Saccharomyces cerevisiae S288C: one gene and its partners. The gene in region 2 interacts genetically with the main gene of each other region. Each region holds a gene or a part of one and is shown on either strand. Other genes may lie near its edges.

What was found.
Region 1: mutations in UGX2 (region 2) and NBA1 together harm fitness more than expected from each alone (negative genetic interaction), as found in Saccharomyces cerevisiae (one large-scale study listed by BioGRID).
Region 3: mutations in UGX2 (region 2) and PAU4 together harm fitness more than expected from each alone (negative genetic interaction), as found in Saccharomyces cerevisiae (one large-scale study listed by BioGRID).

Annotation. Positions count from the first base shown.
Region 1 is NC_001147.6:188,583-200,422, forward strand, and holds NBA1 (Nba1p), read right to left. Parts: upstream 10,144-11,840; coding exon 8,638-10,143; downstream 1-8,637. Other genes in the region: MDM20 (Mdm20p), read left to right, coding at 1-832; YOL075C (uncharacterized protein), read right to left, coding at 1,076-4,960; DSC2 (Dsc2p), read right to left, coding at 5,250-6,218; THP1 (Thp1p), read left to right, coding at 6,388-7,755; succinate dehydrogenase assembly factor SDH5, read left to right, coding at 7,925-8,413; kinetochore-associated Ndc80 complex subunit NUF2, read left to right, coding at 10,360-11,715; histone deacetylase HST1, read right to left, coding at 11,786-11,840.
Region 2 is NC_001136.10:156,066-160,675, forward strand, and holds UGX2 (Ugx2p), read right to left. Parts: upstream 2,671-4,610; coding exon 1,999-2,670; downstream 1-1,998. Other genes in the region: UGA3 (Uga3p), read left to right, coding at 253-1,839; SFA1 (bifunctional alcohol dehydrogenase/S-(hydroxymethyl)glutathione dehydrogenase), read left to right, coding at 3,539-4,610.
Region 3 is NC_001144.5:1,059,777-1,070,333, reverse strand, and holds PAU4 (seripauperin PAU4), read right to left. Parts: upstream 7,416-10,557; coding exon 7,053-7,415; downstream 1-7,052. Other genes in the region: YRF1-4 (Y' element ATP-dependent helicase protein 1 copy 4), read right to left, coding at 1-3,247; YLR464W (uncharacterized protein), read right to left, coding at 2,833-2,970, 3,250-3,762; YLR462W (uncharacterized protein), read right to left, coding at 3,770-4,378; YLR460C (uncharacterized protein), read left to right, coding at 9,447-10,557.

The DNA of each region.
Region 1 (11,840 bases), on a different chromosome or scaffold from region 2:
ATTCGAAAGAAATTCATATAGCAAAATACTAGGAATGCTCGAGATGAGGGATAAACTAATGAAATCCTATACAAGATGGACCAAAACTTTAGAAAACTTACAGTTCTCACGTTTATGCAACGACAAGCGCGGCCACCTACTACAAAAATTACACGAAGATTGGAGATCTTTAGAAATGACGCAAAGTGTATCATTTTCTGACAATAGAGACTTTTCCATATTAGATGAAAATTTTGCCCAATTTCTTAACCGTGGTAAAATTTTGGAATATGCTAACTTGAATGAAGAATCAATTTTTCTAACTTTGATAAGAGAACTTATTATTGAAGCTTTGCCAAATGGGGAGAAAACGGAACAAATAAGTGCGCTCTTAAAAAAACTTCCATCAATTAACCTTGAAGAGTTGTTGAATAATAATTTAACTGAAGTGGAGTCAGCGTCATTTCTGATTTTTTTCGAAATTTACGAAAATAACGGTAAAAATCTACATGATTTAATTTCTAGGTTGATGAAAGTCCCAATAAATGCAAAACAAAACTGGATGGTATCCCATACTTACCTTACTAAAATGGCAACCTTAAAAACACTAGACAGTTTGAAGAGAATCAAAGATAAAGAAATTCAAAAACTAATCAAAAACTCCCTCAAGGAGTTGAGGAGTTGTTGCGATGATGTATTTAAAGGTTATTCTAAAGCTTTAGTACAAGCATATGAAGAATTAAAAAAAGATGAATGTGGCAACTTGTTAAAAGAACTTGATGTTAAAGCTGAAAATGTCAAGAACATTAAAAATTCATTACTAGGCATCCAAAAAAGTGTAAGAAATTTATGAACAAAAATTACATCTCCATTATAGAGCAGTCGCAGATAGACAATTTTCTTTTATTTTTTTTTTTTTAGGTAGATAAAATAACATGTATCGCAAGACTTTTATATCAGCAGCCTTTTCAAGCTCCATAATTTCTGAAAGAAAAAGTAGTATATGATTTTTGAGGAGAATAAATTTCAAAAAATCATAGGAAAATAATAACGATGTTCCTCCCGTTAATTTACAGGTCTATAAGTATTTTTCCAATCACCATTTTATCCACTCCAATTTTGCTTTTAAAATAAAAAATGCAATAAGGCGATAAATTATGGCTACGCACACAATGATTCCCAGGTACTTTTGCGTATTTCTGACTAAACCATAAGAAACCAACACATCATGGCCATTCGCAAATTCACAAGTACCGTCTGAATTTTTCCCGCCATCTTCGCAGGTTAATTTCAAATTACCTGGGAATGCGAAATTAATGATGATCATAGATGTATACCCTACAGGGTTCAAATAGTTAAAACCCTTTAATACTCTCGACATGCCTAGTGACATTAACCCTGACATCTGAGTACCAATGGATAAAATAATGGAAATGCAGTTAACGACGAAGCCTGGCCTTTCGAAAAATGTATTTGTCATTATACCAAGAGCTTCGCCACAACAGGTAACAATAAAGGAACAGTAGACGGTTGCAAAGAAGTTGCCTGCAGTTCTTGGTAACCCACATGCCAGTACTGTAAATACCGCGTATAACACTGAAGCTAATGCGGATAGCGGCAACTCTAATGTCATATAAGCTAAGAAAAAAGGTGCTATACCATAAACATTATCATTATATTCTTCGTAAAAGTAATCTCTTTCAGTTGGATAACATGCCAAGTTCCCCAGCATGCCCACAAAATATAGTGCTGTAGATTCTTGTGCCAATCCTAGACGATTGCTAATACTTGTATAATTATGCTTGACTGGGGCAAAGAATAATGCGAAAATAACACCTAATCCTGGAATTTGTGCAATACGCGCCATCAAAGAGTCAAAACTTCTCCTTGTCGTAGTAAATTGCCTTTTAACGTTCACTATGTACGCCAAAACCAAATTAGCTGGTTTTCTTACAAACTCGCTGTATTCTGTGAAAAATGACTCCTGAGAGTATTGTTGTTTTTCAGAAATTGGGGTTGGTGAAAGGCTTTCGTTATCCATATTAGCTTTCCATGCACTAAGTATCTTTTCTACTCGTGCCCTTGAGCTTATTTCATTCTGTTCGTTCTGGGTATTAACTGAAATTAAATCAAGAAAGAAATCTGCCACGTTCGTAAACGAAGGACAGTTATATCCCAATTCAGTGAAATAAGCAATCATTTCATCTGGTGATCCATTGAAAGCAGTTCTACCCGATTTAGCTAATAGCAAAACATTACCAAATCTCTTGAATAATTCTGACCTTGGTTGATGAATGGTAATGATGATCGTCTTGCCCTGTTCCCTACATAACTTCTCCAAAATTTCCAGTATAGTAGCGGATGTGAAGCTATCTAACCCTGAAGTTGGTTCATCTAGCAATAATATCGGAGGATCGTTTAATAATTGCACACCCATAGTTACTCTTCTTTTTTCACCACCGCTTATACCTTTAACAAATTCATTACCAATGATATTGTTTTCACAATGCTTTAAACCCAAAGACCTTATTAGGTTGTCAGTTCTCTCCATTCGTTCTGCCTCAGTCAGATGATGCAATCTTAATGCAGCGGCATATTTCAGGGTTTCTTTAACGGTTAAAGCTGCCAAAAGGTGGTCATCATCCTGCGAGACATACGAGCATACATTTTTAAACATAAGCTCTGAAACTTGAATATCATTGAACATTATTGAACCTGAAGTGTCAAATTTGGCAAAGACCGAAGATTTTAATCTTCCGGAGATTAGGTTTAACAGAGAAGACTTTCCAGACCCTGATGGCCCCATAATTGCATTAATCATTCCAGGTTTGAAAATGGCATTAACTGATTGTAGAATTTCTTTTGTTTCATGGTGGAAGTTGCCTTCTTTCCAGTTTGAGAAAGGGGCAGAAAAAATGACTCGTAAGTCTATATCTTCTAATTTTATAGTAATATGTATATTTTTTCCTTTCTCCGCTTCCAAATCTTTCTGATGATACACGTCATCTAGCAGCTGAATCTCGGGTTTCATTCCTGTTGGGGATTTCTTTTTGATTTTTTTTTGCTTCGATTTCACTTCATTTTGTAAAGTTATATCAATCTTGTGCAAATATAAAATAATTGCACCTACTACAAAATATCCCACAGACCAGCAAAGTAAGACAACGGCAGGTACGGTTATCCAATTCCTAGGAAACCCGTAAACTTCCAATATCTGGTTACCCAAGCACTCATCGAGATTATCTGTAGTACAGTACGAATTCGTAAAGGTGCTTGACATGAGAGTACCGAATGAATACCACGTAAAGGCAATATATTTAATCCAACGAACATACACGGGCATTACTTTAGCATTAACGAAAAAACCACATCCCATCGATAATACCGTAAATGTCATATTTCCTACTAATGAAGCTTTAGAAAAATCTCTCGATACCGCCACCGATAACATAGATAAACCGGAACATGATAGCTGACATAAAAATACAACAGCAAACTGATAAAAAAACTTCCTTGCATCTGCTTCCAATCCAAACATAAAATATGTTATACTGACAAAAATCATGGTCATCGCGAAATCGTCAGAGAGGAAAAGTGAAATTTTTCTAGCTACGATGAATGCCAAAGGTGTTACCGAGCCCTCTGCTCTTTCTCTGTCATATAACGCAATATCCTGCTCACAAAGTCGATAAGTATCAAAAAGCAAATACAAGTAACATTGCAAAATTGTGGACGCGTAAAGACATGCGGTTGTTGTCCTTAAACCACCTATACTGCTTTTGTCAGGTTTATAGTAAATCCAACCGCAAACAGTACCAATAATCAACGGTTCTGCAAAAGTAGATATTAAAGTAACGTAATCTGAAAAATTTAATTTGAAATTTCGCCTTGTTAGCACCGTAACTTGCTTCCAAAATGGCAGTCTGGTAGTCATATTCTGAATTTGAATTTCCGTTGCGTTGCTTATATAAGATTCTGCCTGTAGTTGCAAATGAGTTCTCTCATAATCATGCCAATGATCAATCAATGAATTTAGCCGACTTTGCGTGGCAGCTTCTTCTTTATCAGATCTAGAGTCTACGCTTGATAAATCAATGAAATAATCTGCTGGATTTACCAGCTGGGGTACGTGATAACCAATAGACTCAAAATAAGGGATAGTATTATCCATTTTGTCACAATATACCACATTTCCCTTTGACAAAATACAAACCTGGTCCAATAAAAACAATATATCCGATCTCGGCTGATGAATTGACATGATAAAAGTCCTGCCATCTTCTTTAGCTAATTTTTTCAAAGTTTTAATAACCAAGAAGGCAGAATATGCATCCAGTCCAGTGGTAGGCTCATCTAAGAACATGATGGAAGGGTTTGAAATCATTTGAGTACCAATACTTAGTCTTCTCTTTTCACCACCAGAAAGACCCCTGTGCGAGTTGTCCCCCACAAGAGTATCGGCACAATCCTTGAGCCCTAATTCTTCAATTAATTGCTCGACCATTAATTTCTTGGTTCGCTCAGAAGAGTTTAGTTTCAAATCAGCTGCAAACTTAAGAGTTTCTCTACAAGTCAACCTAGGAGAGAGTACATCTTGTTGAGGTAGGTACGCCATTATTACGTGTTTCTGGATGGGATGGTCTTGGCCATCCAAGTGAGCCCTCTTAGGCTCTGTTTCATTGGGTTCTGAACCTGTATCTTCCAATACGTACCGTATAGAACCATTATGAGTTAACCCACCACTGATCTTGGATGCCAGAACATTCAGCAACGTAGTCTTCCCTGACCCCGAACCACCCATAACTGCCATGACCGACCCACTGGGCAGGTCCATGGAAAACGTATTAACTAGCGTCGTATTTGTTTTGGATGCAACGATTGACAAATCCCTTACATGAAGGCTTATTCTAGGGATTCTTGAGAAGGAAAGTCTATTTTCGATTAATTCAGTGGCCACATCACCATTCTCCTGCTGTGACATAGTGGCTGCAAGTGGATGTTTGGCGTTGGTGATTGTAGCTTAAAATACGATGATCGTTTGAAAACTGCCAAGCACTTGTGCCTACTTCTGCATTTACATCACAAATTCGTTTATCTCATCACTAGATCCTTCCTTTTTTTTTTTTCACTTTCTGATATTTCGTATAAGTGTCAACCCAACAATACTAAAGCCAGACATATGATAGAAGTAACTGCCTCACATGGCTGTAAACGATGTTGCTAAACCGTTGCTATGTTTATTTGTTTATGTAGGTATATGCTGATATAAATCATCTCCTAAAGGTATCCAAAAATTGGACTCCCAGTGGTCTTGCAGGTTCATCGGCACCAGGCTCGTCATCACCAGCGCTAGAGGTATTTGTAGGGGTGGTGCTTGAACCACGAAGCGGTAGGCTTGTAGGCCCAGAGTTGCCTGTATTTCCATTTCCTGTAGCAGCAGTAGCTGCTTCTACAGTGGCTCTTGCTGCTGCTGTATTCGTGGCCGCATTGGCCGCTATAGCAACGTTAGCCCTCGTGGGTGGGCCTTGAGAGATGAAATAGGATACAAACGGTATTCTCCAATGGTCTAATCCCGGTAACAGGCCCTTATCGATGAAAATACCACACATCCAGCTTATGAATCCGCATAGTATTCCTGCAAACCCCTGATTTAATATAAGCAGGAGAATTAACCCATTTAAAAGAAACTGATCGTTGATTTTCCACTCTACGGCGCTCTTGTCTTCTCGCTTGTTATCATTGTGACTTGATGCTCCTCCTCGAGGTCCTAGTAATCTTATATTCCATTCGTAAATCTGAGGGGTGTATTCTTTGTAAAAATGTACTAAGCTTAAAACAATGGGCAGTGAACCTGTACTAAAATTGTTCCATTGAAGCCACTTGTACTGTCCAATAAATGCGTTCCAGATCAGATTCAATCCCCAAATTCCTAAGGTGGTGTAGGCCCATGACAAAACAATCAAGGTCAAGTACTTGTGGGATCCTAGTAGCCGTTCTAAATGCCTAAACAGATACCATATCAACGCCAGTATTACTGTATCGGATTCATTGATGGCGCAGAACTGGAATATGAGCAGACGGTAGTATTGATGGTAGGTCTGCAGAAAAGGATCATATTGCAATAGAAATATATGTTTGTAACTTGCAATCGAGGCAACTAAGGGAACCACAAGCGTCGTGATCATGGCTAGCTTGGTGACGGGCATAGCCGTAAGCCCCACAGGAGGCTCCATAGACATTATTTGTAGACTATTGTGTTTGCTTTTTATGTCGTTGACTTTCTCTCCCTTTAATAGTTAAGTTTATACGTCAAATTTCTCTTCTATACTTTTCCAAAAAAAAAAAACCATCTTCACATCAATGGCATTCAAAGTAAGAAACAGGGCAGGGATAAAAGGATAGATAGCAATGGACATGGCCAACCAGTTGCTAGATGAATTAGCACATGGAAATTTTTCCCACCTAACGCTAAACTTGTCCCAAAATGGTAGGGAAATTGCTATCTTACAGAAGCAATTGACCGGATTTGATGATAAACAGCTAGAAACGTTTGTAGAACAACACCCGGCTATGCCCAATGATACGAGATTCAAAATCATGTGTACATCCTTTTTAAATTATGCCCGAGATGTCGACCCATGGTCAGCCTGGTCCAGTTCGGATCTAATTTTTGAGTTTTATCAATGTTTAATCAACTGTCTCATCAACGACAATGCTCCTCACATAGAAATGTTGATACCAGTAGCAACTAGAGAAACAGAATTTATCATCAATCTCGCTGGGAAACTAGACTCTTTCCACTTGCAACTGCATACGAGAAGTCACCAATTTCTATCACATATATCGTCCATCCTATCAAGACTATTTAACAGCATCAAACCTCCACGAGGTAACGCATCTTCTACAAATATACCTGGAAAACAACGAATACTGCTCTACCTGGTCAATAAACTAAATAACATCTACTTCAGGATCGAGTCACCGCAATTATGTTCCAATATCTTTAAGAACTTTCAGCCAAAAAGCATGCTTGCACATTTCAACGAATACCAGCTCGACCAGCAAATAGAATACAGATATCTATTAGGAAGGTACTACTTGTTGAACTCTCAAGTACATAATGCCTTCGTTCAATTCAATGAAGCTTTCCAGTCCTTATTGAACTTGCCGTTAACGAACCAAGCGATCACTAGGAATGGCACCAGAATACTAAATTACATGATCCCTACAGGGCTGATACTGGGAAAGATGGTCAAATGGGGACCGTTGCGACCGTTCCTTTCCCAAGAAACAATTGATAATTGGAGTGTTCTCTACAAACACGTACGTTATGGGAATATTCAAGGCGTGAGTCTCTGGCTGAGACAAAACGAGCGTCATTTGTGTGCAAGACAGTTACTGATCGTGCTCCTAGAGAAACTGCCCATGGTAACGTACAGAAATCTGATTAAAACGGTAATAAAGTCCTGGACCACCGAATGGGGTCAGAACAAATTACCGTACTCCTTGATAGAACGGGTACTACAGCTATCTATTGGTCCGACATTCGAGGATCCCGGCGCCCAGGAAATTACCATTTATAATGGCATTCACTCCCCCAAGAACGTCGAAAACGTACTTGTGACACTGATTAACTTGGGACTTTTACGCGCAAACTGTTTCCCACAGTTACAACTGTGTGTAGTGAAAAAGACTACAATGATACAAGAGATTGTTCCGCCGGTTAATGAACGAATCACCAAGATGTTTCCTGCCCATTCTCACGTTCTTTGGTGATATGTAGATATATATAGGAAATAGAAGAGAAGGAGCGACATTATGCTGTTTCTTACAGATTTCATAAGAGACTAGATTTTAAGTATATTTAGGATATATAAGAAAGGCGAAATTTGTAAAAAAAGAACAGGAGGAAAAAAGGGAGTACACTTTAAAAAGGAGCACATAAATGCACAATATGTTTCCAGCACTCACAAAGACACTGTCGTTGCAAGGCTACAAGATTATCAACTCTCAAACAGGGTCCGCTGCATGGTCGTGCGGTCGTAGGTGGTTTAGTAGTGATAAAGATGACCACGACGATGTGGTGACGAGGATTAAAATTGCCCCCATAAAGAGAACTAACGAGCCATTGGATAAGAAAAGAGCTCGGTTGATATATCAATCACGCAAAAGAGGGATCTTGGAGACGGACTTGCTGCTATCTGGGTTCGCTGCCAAATATTTGAAGAAGATGAACGAAGAGGAACTGGAAGAATACGATTCGCTATTGAATGAGTTGGACTGGGACATATACTATTGGGCCACAAAAAATTTCAAAACCAGCCCCTTGCCTGACAAGTGGGCCAATTCTAAATTGCTGAAGCAGCTACAAGAATTCAGTGAAAATAAAGAGAAGGAAATTTTAAGTATGCCGGACTTGTCCAAGTATCAATGAATACAAGCCATTGAATTACTATCACTTTTTTTTATTTGTATATGACTTGTAAATAAACCGGAAGAGAAAGAAACTTATATATTACCACTATACTATACTATACTTATTGCTATTATTATTATTCATTATTAGTATTATAATATATTATTGATATTGATATTGATATTGTTATTGTTATTGTTACTACCACTGTTACTATTACTATTATTATTGTTGTTGCACCATCAAAACCCTTCAAGAGCCTTTGTAGCTTTGTCTAATCTTTTCAGTCCTTCTTCATAGCGGTCCGGATCAAGAACCATGTCTGCTGTTAACCTGGACAAAGAGTCTACTAGTCTCTCCAGGGCACGTTTCTCCTCAATTTTCATCCCCAGTTGCGCAAATTCAGACCCGATTAAGGTTCCCTTTGTCACACTCAACAGTTGATTTAGTGTGTCGATATCAAAGGATCGCAATTCCTTCACAGATTTTTTTTTATTGAGCTTTTTTTTCGTATCCTTCTTGAGTTTAGTTTTCTTGGGCGTTTCCTCAATGATGTCCTCGTACATGTCATCATCTTGTTTGTTTGTCGAAGTAGAGGTATGATTTGCCCTATCATGAATAGCCTTCAATGTGTCGTCACGTTTCAAATTCGATGTAACTCTGCTATCCTCATTGGGTGTGCTGGGCAATGGTCTTGTCAAGTAAGTCTCTTCCTCTGGAGGCATACTCGTTGCCGCAGAATAGTAAGATTCCGATTTTTGTTCACTAACTGTGGAAATCTGAGATGAGTTCTTATAGTGGCCACCAGGTTGGACCGGCGTTGGTAATATTTCTTCGGTTAAAAGATCCCCCTCGCCATCACCTTCTTCGATGAACAACCTTGACCTAGGACGGTCCTTACTTCTGGGCGGAATAGTTGGATTGTAGTCATTGGTTTCAGAACGTATTGGGTTTATCGCTTTGGGTGCTTCGTTGGTGGTTGTATACAACTCGGGTATGACACTGGAAACAATTGAAAGCTTATCGCTAACATTTCCTTCCTCTTCTTCTTCGAGCTGCTCTTGAATAGATTGATGGAATTTGGTATTATAAGTGGAAGATCCGCTCTCGCTGGCCAAATTACCTGATCCTATAGAGGAACGCATAACTTTTTCCTGACGTAGAGGACTAGATAACAGTTTCAGTGAGCCACGACCCTCTACTTTTTTTGAAGTGTTAGAGTTAAACCTTCCCACAGGTTTGGCATTAGTAACTGGTTTAATGACAATTTCGTCTGCATTGGTATTCGATTTTGTGCTTTGGTTATCACTTAGATGTTTTGTCAATGTCGCTTCTGAAGGCAACATGGGCAACGACGGTAACTCGTTCTTGCTCACGGGCTCTTTCAAGGAGTACAAACTATTGGAATCCTTACTTGTGCGCCGTTCTTGGGTCTGTTGCCGGTTTTTGACCACATATGATACTTCAACGCCTTCTTGAATAATTCCAGAGTAGTTGGAAATCATACTTGATCTGTTATCACCAGGTGGCAGCGAAACGTCACCAGCAGGTGATCTCAACAATCTCGATGGTGGTTTAAAGACATCACTTTGATCCGCCTTTTCCTCTGTGATCATTGTCCTGGTAGTTGTGGGAGATGGAAAGAGCCTGTCATCTTTCTCATTGTTCAGTGAATCGATCATTGCTGAAAGTCGCTGCGTATTCAGCGTAGCCCTAGATATCCCGTTTTCTTCCCTCTCTTCTGACATACTTATACACCTATCTGGTTTTGATAATGGTCTTCTTGTTAGTCGAATATATCAGCGTTCTTTCTCTTCTTGATGGTGCCAGCCATTTGATCAAAAGATCGCTTTTCCGAATCGGGACATGTAACAAACAATAACAATTAAAATAAACAATATTATGAAAAAATACTGGTAAAAAGCATGTACTGAGGAGAAAGGCTCCAGCATCCCTTGAGCAAAATGAGTAGGAATCAAGATGTGTTCCCCATTTTGGATCTACAGGAACTAGTTATATGTTTGCAAAGCTGTGATTTTGCGCTAGCCACACAGGAAAATATCTCTAGGCCCACCTCAGACTACATGGTAACCCTTTACAAACAAATCATCGAGAACTTCATGGGTATTTCTGTAGAGTCGTTGCTGAATAGTAGTAACCAAGAAACAGGGGATGGTCACTTACAGGAAGAGAACGAGAACATTTATTTGGACACGTTAAATGTTTTGGTATTGAACAAAATCTGCTTTAAGTTCTTTGAGAACATAGGTGTTCAAGATTTCAATATGACAGATTTGTACAAGCCCGAAGCCCAACGGACACAGCGCTTACTGAGTGCTGTGGTGAATTACGCTCGTTTTAGGGAGGAACGAATGTTCGACTGTAATTCTTTTATTCTTCAAATGGAATCGTTGCTGGGTCAGCTTCGCTCCAAATTCGATGATTATAACTTGATTCAGCAACAGCTAAAGCAATACGAGGACGTAGATGGGGATAATATACCTGATGAGCAAGAGCTCCAAAAGCTGGAAGAGCAAAATAAGGAGCTGGAAATTCAGTTGAAGAAATTGACCAAGATCCAAGAAACGTTATCCATAGATTATAATGACTATAAGATCTCCAAGCAGTCAATCTTTAAAGATCTGGAAGCTCTGAGTTTCCAAATAGTGGAATTAGAGTCCAATCGAGATAAACTGATCAAAATATCCAATACAGACATGGAAGAGTTATCCGAGGGAATCAAAGAGCTAAATGATCTGTTGATACAAAGGAAAAAGACGTTAGACGACTTAACCGCACAACAGAAAAACTTGCAAGATACAGTGACGACGTTCGAAACCATAATTAGTGAGCTCTATGATGTGCTGAGAATAATTTCCAGCGAGGTGCAAGAGTCTAATCGAACTGAAACGGAACTTGTGGGATTAAAGCAAAATTTAATCAACAATAAGCTGAAATTGATGAATGTATTGGAAACAGGTATTATGTATAAATTAGAAATCTTACAAGAACAGTTAGATTTGCAACTCAAGAATTTGGAAAAGCTATCGCAAGATACTAAAGAAGAGTCGCGCCTAAATGATACTAAATTGATGGATCTACAAATCAAATATGAAAATGAAATCAAACCTAAGATTGACAAAACGGACATTTTCATTCAAGAGGAACTGATCAGTGGTAAAATCAATAAATTAAATGATGAAATTAAACAATTACAAAAAGATTTCGAAGTTGAAGTTAAAGAAATTGAGATTGAATATTCTTTATTATCTGGTCATATTAATAAATACATGAATGAAATGCTCGAATATATGCAATAGCAGCGGTATACTTATTTTTACTCCCCCTTCTGTGTTTTCTTCTTTTTTTTTTTTTTTTTTTTTTTGGAATTTACTGTTGTTTCTTTCGTGGCTGTTTCTTAATCTTATACGTACCTTTATCTATT
Region 2 (4,610 bases):
GGGCATCACGTTCGTCGTGACATATGACTTGAAAAATGTGCAAAAGCTTATCGGAGCCAATCGGATTGACGCATTAAAACCGAAGTGTATTAGGACCAAATTTGCGCTGTATAGGGTTGAACGGTAGGGCTACCAGGGTCTGAGTCATCAAAGAAAAAGAAATTACAATAAGAGTCTTACTTAAGATGATATAGAATTGTTGTTATTGTTCATGTATGGATGCCAAGAAAACAAAGTTTTTTAAAGTGAGGTATGAATTATGGCGTGGAGAAGCTGAAATTGAAATATTCGAAGCATGGGTGTATTACTTGCAAGATCAGAAAGAAGAGATGCTCTGAAGATAAACCTGTGTGCCGGGACTGTCGTCGATTAAGTTTTCCCTGTATCTATATATCAGAATCTGTTGATAAGCAGTCTTTGAAAAAAATAAAGGCAGATATACAGCACCAGTTGATCAGCAAGAAAAGAAAGCATGCTCCTGACAGTGCTCAGAAAGCGGCCGTGGCCACCCGTACTCGACGGGTCGGTAGCGACGAACAGGATAACCAGGTATATTTGTCAAAACCGCTGGAAGATTGCATTTCTCAGAAGCTGGACTCTATGGGATTGCAGCTGTACAACTACTACAGGTCTCACCTTGCAAACATAATTTCCATCGCGCCCATGAACCAGAACTACTATCTGAACATTTTCTTGCCAATGGCCCACGAGAATGATGGTATATTGTTTGCTATTCTTGCTTGGTCAGCTAATCATTTGTCTATATCATCATCAAATGAGCTGCGAAAGGATGAAATATTTGTCAACTTGGCGAACAAGTATACATACATGTCGTTATCGCATCTAAAGACAAACGAGGGCTCAAGTGCCTGTGCTAAACTGGGGTTTCTATATTCACTAGCACAAATCCTAATCTTATGTGGTTCAGAGATATGTCAGGGTGATGTGAAATTTTGGAAGATATTATTGAATATAGGAAAAAATTTGATCGAAAACCATGTGGGCAAGGATGTCTCACGGATACTAACCACTACTACAGAAGAACCCTCCCTAGAGGAGAGGATAATCTTCCCCAATTTCAATTCCGTTGTTAAGTACTGGCTGATTGTGAATTTTATATATCATGATATTTTGAATTTCAATACAACGTCCTTCCCGATCGAACAATACGAGAAATTCTTCCAAAGGGATCAGAACTCTTTACCCAGCTCAGCCAACTTTATTGAGTCAATAGACTCGCCAATTGAGGAAATAGACCCTTTAATTGGCATCAACAAGCCTATTTTACTACTATTGGGACAAGTCACAAATTTGACGAGGTTTTTGCAGACTATGGAACAGGAAGAAATGCTAGAGCATGGCGATAAAATTTTGAGTTTGCAAGTCGAGATTTATAAATTACAACCTTCGCTTATGGCGCTGGAACATTTGGATGATGAAAAGAAATTTTACTATTTAGAACTATTCGAGATAATGAAAATTTCTACCTTAATGTTCTTTCAATTAACTTTATTAAAGATTGACAAAGATTCGCTGGAACTACAGATACTGAGAAACAAATTGGACTCGAAGCTAGACAAGGTCATCGGAACTTTTTTGGAAGGATCGTTATGCTTCCCACTTTTCATTTACGGTGTATGCATTCAGGTAGAAGATATGGAGAAAAAAATAGATTTGGAAGCCAAATTTGACGACATTTTAAAACGATATAAATGTTACAATTTCCAAAATGCTAGATTATTGATACGGAAAATTTGGCAAAACGAGGCTGATGGCATCAGTGAGCATGACCTGGTCCACATGATTGACGAATTAGATTACAATATTAATTTTGCCTGAGCAGCATATATTTTCTTTCCCCGCCCCCTGGGTGTCTTAAATTATTGTTTCACCACACAAACATATATATGTTCTTTTTTTTTTTTGTAGGACGTACGGATTCAAAAACAATTTATACCTATACAATGTAGAAATGCTAACGTTGAGACATAGAAGTAATTATTTAATTAACCATTTTAGGTGATTATTTTCAGGGGTGTCCGAGTCCACCTCTACAACATCCACCTGCCCGGTTTGATACCTGTAATCGCCTGTCTTGGAGTCCTCCACAAAGCTTATGCTTCTCTCAGATTTCCTGCGTGGCCTATCCATTATGGCTGCTCCTGCATACGACGTGCCAGTGCCGCCAATCATATCTATATCATGATTGCTTTCCCCGTCGCTTGTACTATCTTCATTCGAGTGGACGTCATGAGCCCATACAGATTTATACCGATTTGCTCTCGGAAATTCATGGCCATCTAGCACTTGTATTCTTTGGTAGTGATCACTATCATTATCCTCGTCACTCTCGTCCCTTTCACAAACGGGGCTTTCCCTTCTCTGCTTTGCAGTCCTTGTTAATTTAGTCTTAGACTTCATTTTAGCTCTTTTATTAGATTTTGTCTTTAATTTGCCCTTGATCTTCAAAATTAACTCATCAAAGTTGTCCTCGTGTGCATCATATACCACCTTATATGATTGTTGGTATTGTGTGGCGAATAAGTCCTGGTTCCAGGCAAAACCTTGACTTTGAGATACAGATATTTTAAAATTTGGCCTTATTTCTGCACTATATGTAAATACCGAACTGGTATTTGAGTATACAATAAGTTTCTCCTTATCCTCCATGACTCTTCAGTAGCGGTTATGAACACGATATAACTATCTGCATTTAACGCTGGTACTGATTTCAATTTATCCTTATCAAATGATACGCTCTTTCCCTTTAAAAAGCGCCCTTACCTCGTTCCGAACGGCGCTAGTAAGAATTTCATCAAATTGCCCTTCTTGTGGGGGGATGCTCATCACAGACTACTGAATATGCATCACAGAAAAGACAAAAAGAACCATTAACATGATTCTGCATATATTTGAATGATTAATCCATGGTATTGATTTAAGGCGGTAAGAAGGAAAATTTAAAATTTGGATATTACCATCTTCTTCTACACTCATATATATTCCTAATTTCCTTTGCATCAGGTCAATCGTGACAGTTGTTGCTTATAAATGCGATTATTTTCTGCGTAATATCCATAATTACTTCAAGAACCCCTTAGGTGACAACCGAAAGTCAGCAGTCACTTAATAGTATTTAGTGTCAGAATTTGTTGGCCTATTTTCTTACATTCACTATATAATACTTACGGGGCTAGTTTTATTTTCTACCACAAATAAAAATAAAGCATCTTTTAATTTTCTTCCCTTGAATGGCTTAAGTGCCTCAGTCGAATGGCAACTTGGTTCCATTATTATCAACTGTATACTATTATAGAGGCATTTTTTTCAATAAAGACATGCGGTGTGTGGGTCTTTTTACCTCTGTAAGTTACGTAATAATGGAATTTCATAGAGGAAGAAAGATGAAAAAATTCACTTATAAAGGGAAGGACATCCGTGTGCTTATACCAGCTTGAGAAAGTACTGACCCTTGAATCGTTAAGTTTACTTCTACAAAATCTCCAAGTAAAGAAGGAATATAAGTAATATAAGTACAATGTCCGCCGCTACTGTTGGTAAACCTATTAAGTGCATTGCTGCTGTTGCGTATGATGCGAAGAAACCATTAAGTGTTGAAGAAATCACGGTAGACGCCCCAAAAGCGCACGAAGTACGTATCAAAATTGAATATACTGCTGTATGCCACACTGATGCGTACACTTTATCAGGCTCTGATCCAGAAGGACTTTTCCCTTGCGTTCTGGGCCACGAAGGAGCCGGTATCGTAGAATCTGTAGGCGATGATGTCATAACAGTTAAGCCTGGTGATCATGTTATTGCTTTGTACACTGCTGAGTGTGGCAAATGTAAGTTCTGTACTTCCGGTAAAACCAACTTATGTGGTGCTGTTAGAGCTACTCAAGGGAAAGGTGTAATGCCTGATGGGACCACAAGATTTCATAATGCGAAAGGTGAAGATATATACCATTTCATGGGTTGCTCTACTTTTTCCGAATATACTGTGGTGGCAGATGTCTCTGTGGTTGCCATCGATCCAAAAGCTCCCTTGGATGCTGCCTGTTTACTGGGTTGTGGTGTTACTACTGGTTTTGGGGCGGCTCTTAAGACAGCTAATGTGCAAAAAGGCGATACCGTTGCAGTATTTGGCTGCGGGACTGTAGGACTCTCCGTTATCCAAGGTGCAAAGTTAAGGGGCGCTTCCAAGATCATTGCCATTGACATTAACAATAAGAAAAAACAATATTGTTCTCAATTTGGTGCCACGGATTTTGTTAATCCCAAGGAAGATTTGGCCAAAGATCAAACTATCGTTGAAAAGTTAATTGAAATGACTGATGGGGGTCTGGATTTTACTTTTGACTGTACTGGTAATACCAAAATTATGAGAGATGCTTTGGAAGCCTGTCATAAAGGTTGGGGTCAATCTATTATCATTGGTGTGGCTGCCGCTGGTGAAGAAATTTCTACAAGGCCGTTCCAGCTGGTCACTGGTAGAGTGTGGAAAGGCTCTGCTTTTGGTGGCATCAAAGGTAGATCTGAAATGGGCGGTTTAATTAAAGACTATCAAAAAGGTGCCTTAAAAGTCGAAGAATTTATCACTCACAGGA
Region 3 (10,557 bases), on a different chromosome or scaffold from region 2:
AGAGCTCGAACATCTTTTGACAGCCCTTGCATAATCCGTATTGTGTGAATACTCCCTCTGGGCAGAAGTATACGTCAATACCATAGAGGAAAAGATGTTTAATTTCGTCAGACCGAAATCCAAGAAACTGTAAGACATTCATATTCTCGGAAGTATTGGGAAATTGTGCTTTCAGTTTCTTTCTCTCTAGCAAAACCATTTGACTCCCTTTCCGCTTATACGACTCTTTGTTAATGTCGGTGACTGGATGGAATCTATTATCCTCAGCATTGCCATCTTTATTGGCGTCCTCCTTGGCACTAGCGTTGGTACTTTCAGTGGTAGTGGCATTAGTGCTGGAGTTGGTGCTAGCAGTGGTAGTGGCATTAGTGCTGGAGTTGGTGCTAGCAGTGGTAGTAGCACTAGTGTTGGAGTCGGTACTTTCGGTGGTAGTAGCACTAGTGTTGGAGTCGGTACTTTCGGTGGTAGTAGCACTAGTGTTGGAGTTGGTACTTTCAGTGGTAGTCGCACTAGTCCTGACGTTGATGCTGGCAGTGGTAGTAGCACTAGTCCTGACGTTGGTGCTGGCAGTGGTAGTAGCATTAGTGCTGGAGTTGGTACTTTCAGTGGTAATCGCACTAGTCCTGACGTTGATGCTGGCAGTGGTAGTAGCACTAGTCCTGACGTTGGTGCTGGCAGTGGTAGTAGCATTAGTGCTGGAGTTGGTAGTCGCATTGGTACTGGCATTAGCACTACCATGAATGCACGTGTCGCTGTCCTCATCACTGCTGCAATACTTTCTGCACCTGTCACTGCTATTGCTCTCCTGGAAGCTAGACGGTAACGCAATGATCGACATGGAAGCTGTCGCCTGTTTTTCAGCCAATCTGTCCATTCTTTCTATCAGTTCCACTGTGTCAGCAGACAGGTCTGTCCTGGAGCCACAGCATCCAACATGCTGGCCCTTTTTTCCTTTCTTTGATTCAAGTCCATAGAACTCGCGTACCTGTTCGGTTATACAGCCTTCCTTAATCGGTGGTAATTCACCCTTACGATTCCTTGCCGCCCAACTGTTTTTTCTAGATAATAGATAACAGAGGCCCCCATCTCTTAGTCTCCCTACGCCTTGAATGAGCTCAATAATATTAAGTCTATTATCAAGCATGATCACCATCATCAATTGCTTAATGTCAATTCCTTCAGTCACTAATTTCGTTCCGATGAGAACTCGCATGCTACCGTCAGTGACAAACTCCTTTGTGCGAGACACCTTTTCTGCAGCACCCAGCTTCCCGTGTATCCATACCACCCTAAAATACTTTCTCCAAGAGCAGGCCAATTCTTCCACTTCGTTGGTTGTGCTTGCAACTACAATGGCCTTCGACTCTGGTTCAATTTCAAAGAGGGCTAAAAGAAGCTTCAGTGCTTCTTCGGGCTGTGATTCCACTTTCTTCCAAATTTTATGAACATGCCCTAAAGGCACCTCGGATTTCTCCTTGATTAGATTAAACATCCGTGTTGGATAGCTGGATAGACCTCTGCTGAGATCTTCCGACCGTTTGAGCTCGTTGATGTCCATCGACTTCTTGGCCAGTCCCGTAAGCCCAATACGCTGCAACGCAGCATCAGCTACAGCCTCAGGTGCTGTGCCGCTCAAAAAGATTGCTTTCTCAAAAGCGTCAAAATCAAGGTTAGTTATGCCCCCAAATTGCGACTGCCGGTAGACCTCCGTTTCAAAGTTGTGAAACTCATCTACAATGAGGTAACCCAATTTTACGTTGTTGGTCCTAAAGGTGCACTCAACAATATTCTCCCACGCAGCTATCCTGTCTGTGAAATTAGTGCTAGCAAGATCATCGTAGATCCCCACGTATAAATCAGTAACGCCATCGCAACCTTCTTCAATAAAGTTTCTTACAGGGGCCACATTCAAGCAACCGCATCGGCTCAACCTGATCATGCAATTAGCAAGCAACACTGTGTACGGTACAAACAGAAACGACACATATTTCACGTCGCCCTTAGACGCCAGTGCTATCAAGGGGAGATGAAATAACTCCGTCTTACCATAGCCCGGTGGGGCCTGTACTGCCACAGAGGGTGTGTCTGCCATGTATATTTCATGACATAAGCGCAACTGATGCAAGTCCCTGAATTCAAAGGAGCTGCCAAAGAGTTTCCGGCCTGCGACGAGGATATCGTTTGTACTCTTGGGCTCTCGGGGCCTTTTTCGCGTTACTCTTGAAATTTTTTGATGATGATCTGAACTCGCCGCCTCACCTGCCACTACGTCTTCCGCATTCCGAGTACTAGAGAATGAACAATGGTAGTCGCTTTCAAGGCCTAACCATTGAATCCAGCGCTCGGAAGCTCGTTCCTGCAATAAAGTGGCGGTCGTCCCACTGACACTAGTTAACGAAAAGGAATCCACACCGTAAATATTTCGCCCTGTTTGAACGGAATGATTGGCCATGAGTTCACTCGTCGCCGACTCGTACAAATCTGTTTCAAATCTGCTACCTACGCAGTGCCGTCCTAGGGCAATCAACCCCTGACGCATCTCCCGAAAATTCAGCTTCTGAGGTGCATTCTTCGGAAGTTCCCTCATGTACTGCCGAAAAGTTGCGTATTCAACCAGACAGCCCTTCGCGGTATTCAGAAACATGTAGGAATACAAAACTATCCTCGAAATGTCTCGATTTGTTACTTGATCTGGATCCTCAAATCCCACCACATCCATCCAAGGATCATGATTAAAAGCGTCATAACTGTTACCAAGCGCACATATTTGCATTTGCCTTAGCACAGTGACAAAATAAAACACGTAATCTGAAGTGAGTCCGTCAAGCGTCTTTAGTCGAGGCTCCGATGAACCGTTCTTGTTGTAATCAGTGTACAGTTGGATGCGTCTTGTTGTATCATCGACGTATACGTTGCGCTGAGGACCGGCAAAAGCGAGTAGCTGAAGCTCTGGATAACGGTAAGGGTATCCTACGGCAAAATGGATCATCCACATAAGTGGCACCGTAAGCTCGTCAATTGCAACAGCGACTTTATTTTTAAGAGCCGCGGTCATTTTGTTAGTATCTCTTCTCAACTTGGGCAGCACAATTTCACGATATTTAACAGGTATCATTTGAAAAAAAGAATCGTTTTCCAGATACTCGTCAATTCCTCGCTTCGGTTCTCTGAACAAAACTTCTCGATTACGCAAAATGAGGCTGGCATATGGAAGCAGTTGTTCAACTCTCCCCAAAGTTTTCCACATACTGATATACCATCAGAAGAAGGTACCAAAGTTATTCTATAAGAGTCCTTCAGCGTGGTTTCCTGCGCTACTTCGTGGTACAGAATTTTGATCCATTTCCACATTGCAACGCCGTTGTTGTCATCAAATATATCTAAATCCCTTGCGGTACAAGCACAAGACGACACCAATAAAGCTTTCACGGCATCTAGTGTTTTTCTGAGTCTTCGTGGAGTGTTAGGACTGCGCAACTTACATACTTTCAGGCCATGCTCGTCCACAGAGGGAATAATGGGTTCTTCATTCGTAATAGATCGATCCTCTTCGTCACCAGCGCCACCACGGGGACCCGCCCCGAAATTGAGTGCACATGCTCGCAAGATAATATGCAAAATATCACCCAATCGGTCCTTTTTGTTCATCATATCGTTACATATCTGTGAAAAGTACTTTATCTCAATGGGTTTACGTGGGCATAGATCACGCTTCAGCCGCTCTGTGTCGACTTTCTTTTCGCCAGGTAAACTTGCTTGCATAGCTCATCTACGTGTAGGCTGCCAAATTGTACCCATATTTCCTTATGGTGCTTTTCTGAAGACTCCTTACAATAGGTGCGCCGGAAACAAAGTCAGTGAAAGTACGCATCGTAGAGCTGTCGTTCGGCCTAGCACTCGCTATTTCGTGACAACGTTCCAGGACACGGAAACTCAACTCATTATAGTATCCTCTGTTGAGGTAAAAAAGAGAAAGGGTATCGTAATCCTTTCTATTGAATTTCAAAGTATGCACTTGAAACAACGTGTAGACCATCAAGTTGATTTTCTTGGGAACAAGATACTTTGAAGGGATTGGTCCGCCCTGGAAATCTGGTTCGTCTTCAACAAACGTCAGGAACTTTTTTACATTTTTCCCGACCATGACGGAAATGACAACTTTTTCAAAAGACCTTTTCCTATCCATTGCACCAGTTCTGAATTTTACCACTTTGATTAGGCCAGACTTTTCGTCTTCGTAGAATGACCGCACTTCCGTGGGGATCGATTCAAATAAAGTTATTGAGGGACAATGTACCAAGTCGTTTTTGTTATTTAGAGCCGACTCAAACTCGTCAAAGTTTGCTTTTTCAAACTTACGCCTATCGGAAACTTTCATTTTATTTTTGTAAGTTTCGAAATTAACAATAGTATGTTGATTTTTATGCTTTTTGACAAGAAATCCATCAATATAAACAAAAGATTGTCCAGTTTTCGTCTTATCATCATCTAAGAATGTAATAATTAAGCTATTGAGAAGATGCAGAATCTGCGCTATGCAGGTGCAGCAAAAGCAAACAAAATCTCACTAAGATAAGCGACTGTCTGTCCCCTTCAAGCACAACATAGAAAACAGAAGGATGTCTCATTCATCGCTTGATTTCCGGCCTGCAAAAATAAAGTAGTCGGTACGTACTTTCGTTTTCAATTTCCATGGTGCACAGTATCTTAACTATCTGCTTAGTCGAGGAGAACCAGGATTCTGTTCGTTGCTCAGCCGCTTCGTGGATATTCTCTTGGATACTTTAAACATGGACCTACGTTCCGCTCTCGAAAAGACCAATATAATAAAAAGTTATAAATTACATTTCCTTATTAGGTATACGACCTCGCGCTTCGAAGTAGAGGAGCCCTTTTTGGCGTACCTACATATGGCGCGTCAGACAGACAAACTTCCCCCAAAAATGTATTACCCCGCCGAATAAGAAAACAGACCCATTCACCAACGACGTATCAAGTTACTTCCTTGGTTTGCAATGTCCCACTATAAAAAAATTCCTTGACGCTAGATCTTTGGGCTAAAATCTGCGTCAAACAGGAAATATTGCCTATTTTCGTACAAGGTTACTTCCTAGATGCTATATGTCCCTACGGCCTTGTCTAACACCATCCAGCATGCAATAAGGTGACATAGATATACACACCACACCCACACCCACACCCACACCCACACCCACACCACACCCACCACACCCACACACCACACACACACACACCACACCACACCCACACACCCACACACCACACCCACACACACACACACACCTAACCCTAACACTACCCTACTCTAACCCTGATCAACCTGTCTCTCAACTTACCCTCCATTACCCTACTCCCCACTCGTTACCCTGTCTCATTCAACTATACCACTCCCAACTACCATCCACCTCTCTACTTCCTACCACCAACCCACCGTCCACCATAACCGTTACCCTCCAATTACCCATATCCAACTCCGCCACCACTTACCCTGCCATTCCTCTACCATCTCCCATCTACTACTCACCATACTGTTGTTCTACCCACCATATTGAAACGTTAACAAATGATCGTAAACAATACACATATACTTACCCTATCACTCTATACCATCACCACCACTTGCCACACTCACCTTCACTTGTATACTGATATGTCATACGCACACGGATACTACAGTATATACCATCTCAACTTACCCTACTCTCATATTCCACTCCACTCCATGGCCCATCTCTCACTAAATCAGTGCCAAATGCACTCACATCATTATGCACGGCACTTGCCTCAGCGGTCTATACTCTGTGCCATTTACCCATAAATCCCATGATTATCCACATTTTAATATCTATATCTCATTCAGTGGCCTCGAATATTGTAAAAATGCTCTTAATACATACGTTATATTACTTTTGCACCATATACTAACCACTCAATTTAAATACACTTATGCCAATATTACAGAAAAATCACCACTAAAATCACCTAAACATAAAAATATTCTATTCTTCAACAATAATACAAAAACATATTGACTTGGAGTATGAACACTACCATGACGTCATTAACGTAAAAGTTCCTTAATATTGCAGTTTGCTTGAACGGATGCCATTTCAGAATATTTCGTACTTATGCAGACCATACATTAGAATAATATGCTACCTCACTGTCGTAACACTCTCCATTCACTGTGCTATAATATGGTACTGTGTTGACACTCATGCGGGTGCTATGATAAAATTGTATCCTATTTCCATTCCCATATGCTATCCGCAATATCCTAAAAGCATAACTGATGCATCTTTAATCTTGTATGTGACACTACTCATACGAAGAGACTATATCTGAACAAGACGATACTGTGATAGGTACGTTATTTAATAGGATCTATAACGAAATGTCAAATAATTTTACGGTAATATAACTTATCAGCGGCGTATACTGAAACGGACGTTACGATATTGTCTCACTTCATCTTACCACCCTCTATCTTATTGTTGATAGAACACTAACCCTTCAGCTTTATTTCTGGTTACGGTTACACAAAAACTATCGCAACCCAGAAATTTTGATATTTTCAGTGTCAAAAAATGAGGGTCTCTAAATGAGAGTTTGATACCATGACTCCGTAACTCGCACTGCCCTGATCTGCAATCTTGTTCTTAGAAGTGACGCATATTCTATACGGCCCGACGCGACGCGCCAAAAAATGAAAAAAGAAGCAGCGACTCATTTTTATGGAAAGACAAAGTGCTGAGAAGTCATGCGCTTCCAATTTCATTATTGTTTATTGGACATACTCTATTAGCTTTATTACCATCCACCCTTTTTCTAGAATAGTGTAAAAGTTTCTTTTTATGTTTATCGTATTCATAAAATGCTTCACGAACACTGTCATTGATCAAATAGGTTTATAATATTAATATACATTTATATAATCTACGGTATTTATATCATCAAAAAAAAGTAGTTTTTATTTTATTTTTCATTACTTTTTACTGTCTATGAATTTTCATTCGTAGAGGCACTCGTCCCTAGTTTGCGATAGTGTAGATACCATCTTTGGATAGAGCCTTGGAGATAGCTGGCTTTAATCTGCTGGAGTACCATGGAACACCGGTGATCATTCTGGTCACTTGGTCTGGGGCAATACCAGTCAACATGGTGGTGAAGTCACCGTAGTTGAAAACGGCTTCAGCAACTTCAACTGGGTAGGTTTCAGTTGGGTGGGCGGCTTGGAACATGTAGTATTGGGCCAAGTGAGCTCTGATATCAGAGACGTAGACACCCAATTCAACCAAGTTGACTCTTTCGTCAGATTGAGCTATAGTGGTGGTTGCGGAAGCAGTAGCAGCGATGGCAGCGACACCAGCGGCGATTGAAGTTAATTTGACCATTGTATTTGTTTTGTTTGTTAGTGCTGATATAAGCTTAACAGGAAAGAAAGGAATAAAGACATATTCTCAAAGGCATACAGTTGAAGCAGCTCTATTTATACCCATGCCTTCATCAGTCATCACTATTTAAACGATTCGTTAACAGACGCTCATTTAGCACCTCACATATCCTCCATATCTCATCTTTCACACAATCTCATTATCAGTATGGAAATGCTCTTGTTTCTGAACGAATCATACATCTTTCATAGACTTCGTATGTGGAGTATTGTTTTATGGCACTCATGTGTATTCGTATGCGCAGAATGTGGGAATGCCTATTATAGGGATGCCGGGGTACCTTGAAAAACCCTTTTGCGCGCCTGTGATTTCCGTTTTCGGTCAAAAAGAATATCTGAATTTTAGATTTGGACCCTCGTACAGAAGTCTATTGTCTAAGCCTAATTTCAGTGCTTTAAACGGCTTCCGCGGAAGAAGCATTTCTATCTCTTGAATTCGTACAACATTAAACGTGTGTTGGGAGTCGTATACTGTTAGGGTCTGCAATTTGTGAACTCTCGGCGAATGCCTTGGTGCAATTACGTAATTGTAGCCGCTGAAGGCGGATGGTATTGAGAGAAGTTGATGTTCAAAGTATCGTGTATGATAAAAATAAAATTGTAACCAGTTCGTAGTAGCAGTATTAAAACTTTGCACAGAGGGAAATATTTGATTCCGAGATGTAATCCCTCTTTTCTAGCCAGATATGAAGGAGAAAAGTGTAAGGGTAGTAGAGAGCGCTACTTTATTTTATTTTATTTTAAAAATGTTCTCTAGGAAAGGTGTATTAATAGTTGATAAAAAAAGTATTTTGTCTTCTATGTTCATAATTTCAATTCTTGAATTTTGGAAATCGTGAAATGCTTCGAGAAACCGCCTTCAATAATTAGAAAACAAAATAAAAGATTACAATTAGGCCACTCAAAAATACAATTCAGATAAGAAAGGAGCGATAGTGGGGAGTAAGAATTGGAAATACCCTTGATAATCAGGGAAAACTTAAGGAACGGGGTGTTAAAAGTCTGTGAAGTATAGATCAAACTCGCACTAGCTAGCAATACTCATGAGAACCCATGTGAGTCTAAAGCTGTGAAACTTCTTTAGAAAGCAGAGCATCCTCTAAGTTAACAGTTTTCCATACTTATTCAGTATGGATCAAGTTCCACAGTTTGTCAACTTCTGTAAAATAAACTTGTAGTGCTTCTTCGATGAAAAGGGATAGAATCTTTAAAAGACTTGATCTTGGCATTTTTATCCTCCTTCAAGCAGAATGGCTCCAGTAGAGTTGTTCTGAACGCTTCTGGGCAGTGAGCAGCATTGAAGAAAAAGTACTCAGCATTCCAAGCTTTGTTTTCATATAATTATAAATTAAAACTCATAGCCACCAATTTCCAGGTTTTGGTCGCAATATGCTGCAGAGTCAATGGCTTGTTTCATTACTATACTAGTCCGACGGAGTTTACTTTACTCTAAATTTTCTGAAATAGAAAGGCCACACGCCATACAATTAACAATAGTTCATTTAGTTGAAAGGTTTCCGAGATAGAAAGTGCGGTAGTGGAGAAGAACAATAAACGTATCAAACTTTGCGCAGTCATGGAATTTCCAGGAAACATTTTTAGGTTTTCATATGACAGCAGTTCCTGTCCGAGAGCTGTGCCTTTCTTGTCTCAGCTGACTAAGATGTCTCGGATCCGCCCGGCTGACGCGCGGCTCCGTCTAGTGGGATAGGCTTTCAACACATAGAAAACCCTTCAGATGATGAGAACACATCGAATCCCAGAGAGTAATATCACTAAGAATAAAGCAACCATGATAGACGATATTACTAAGTGTTCCTCAACAGATATTGAGAAAAGTTCTTATAAAGCGGGCAGGCTTTTTTCTATTTTTTTCTTTTTCTTTATCTAGCTTAAGATCTTTCTAACCATATTCTATAAAATGGCAAGCTGAATACAGATTATCAACGACAATTACAGATAACCTACAAACATGCAAGTTGCAATTCCAGAAACCATGAAGGCTGTCGTCATTGAAGACGGTAAAGCGGTTGTTAAAGAGGGCATTCCCATTCCTGAATTGGAAGAAGGATTCGTATTGATTAAGACACTCGCTGTTGCTGGTAACCCCACTGATTGGGCACACATTGACTACAAGATCGGGCCTCAAGGATCTATTCTGGGATGTGATGCTGCTGGCCAAATTGTCAAATTGGGCCCAGCTGTCAATCCTAAAGACTTTTCTATCGGTGATTATATTTATGGGTTCATTCACGGATCTTCCGTAAGGTTTCCTTCCAATGGTGCTTTTGCTGAATATTCTGCTATTTCAACTGTGGTTGCCTACAAATCACCCAATGAACTCAAATTTTTGGGTGAGGATGTTCTACCTGCCGGCCCTGTCAGGTCTTTGGAAGGTGTAGCCACTATCCCAGTGTCACTGACCACAGCCGGCTTGGTGTTGACCTATAACTTGGGCTTGGACCTGAAGTGGGAGCCATCAACCCCACAAAGAAAAGGCCCCATCTTATTATGGGGCGGTGCAACTGCAGTAGGTCAGTCGCTCATCCAATTAGCCAATAAATTGAATGGCTTCACCAAGATCATTGTTGTGGCTTCTCGGAAGCACGAAAAACTTTTGAAAGAATATGGTGCTGATGAATTATTTGATTATCATGATATTGACGTGGTAGAACAAATTAAACACAAGTACAACAATATCTCGTATTTAGTCGACTGTGTCGCGAATCAAGATACGCTTCAACAAGTGTACAAATGTGCGGCCGATAAACAGGATGCTACAATTGTTGAATTAAAAAATTTGACAGAAGAAAACGTCAAAAAAGAGAACAGGAGACAAAACGTTACTATTGACATAATAAGGCTATATTCAATAGGTGGCCATGAAGTACCATTTGGAAACATTACTTTACCAGCCGACTCAGAAGCTAGGAAAGCTGCAATAAAATTTATCAAATTCATCAATCCAAAGATTAATGATGGACAAATTCGCCATATTCCAGTAAGGGTCTATAAGAACGGGCTTTGTGATGTTCCTCATATCCTAAAAGACATCAAATATGGTAAGAACTCTGGTGAAAAAC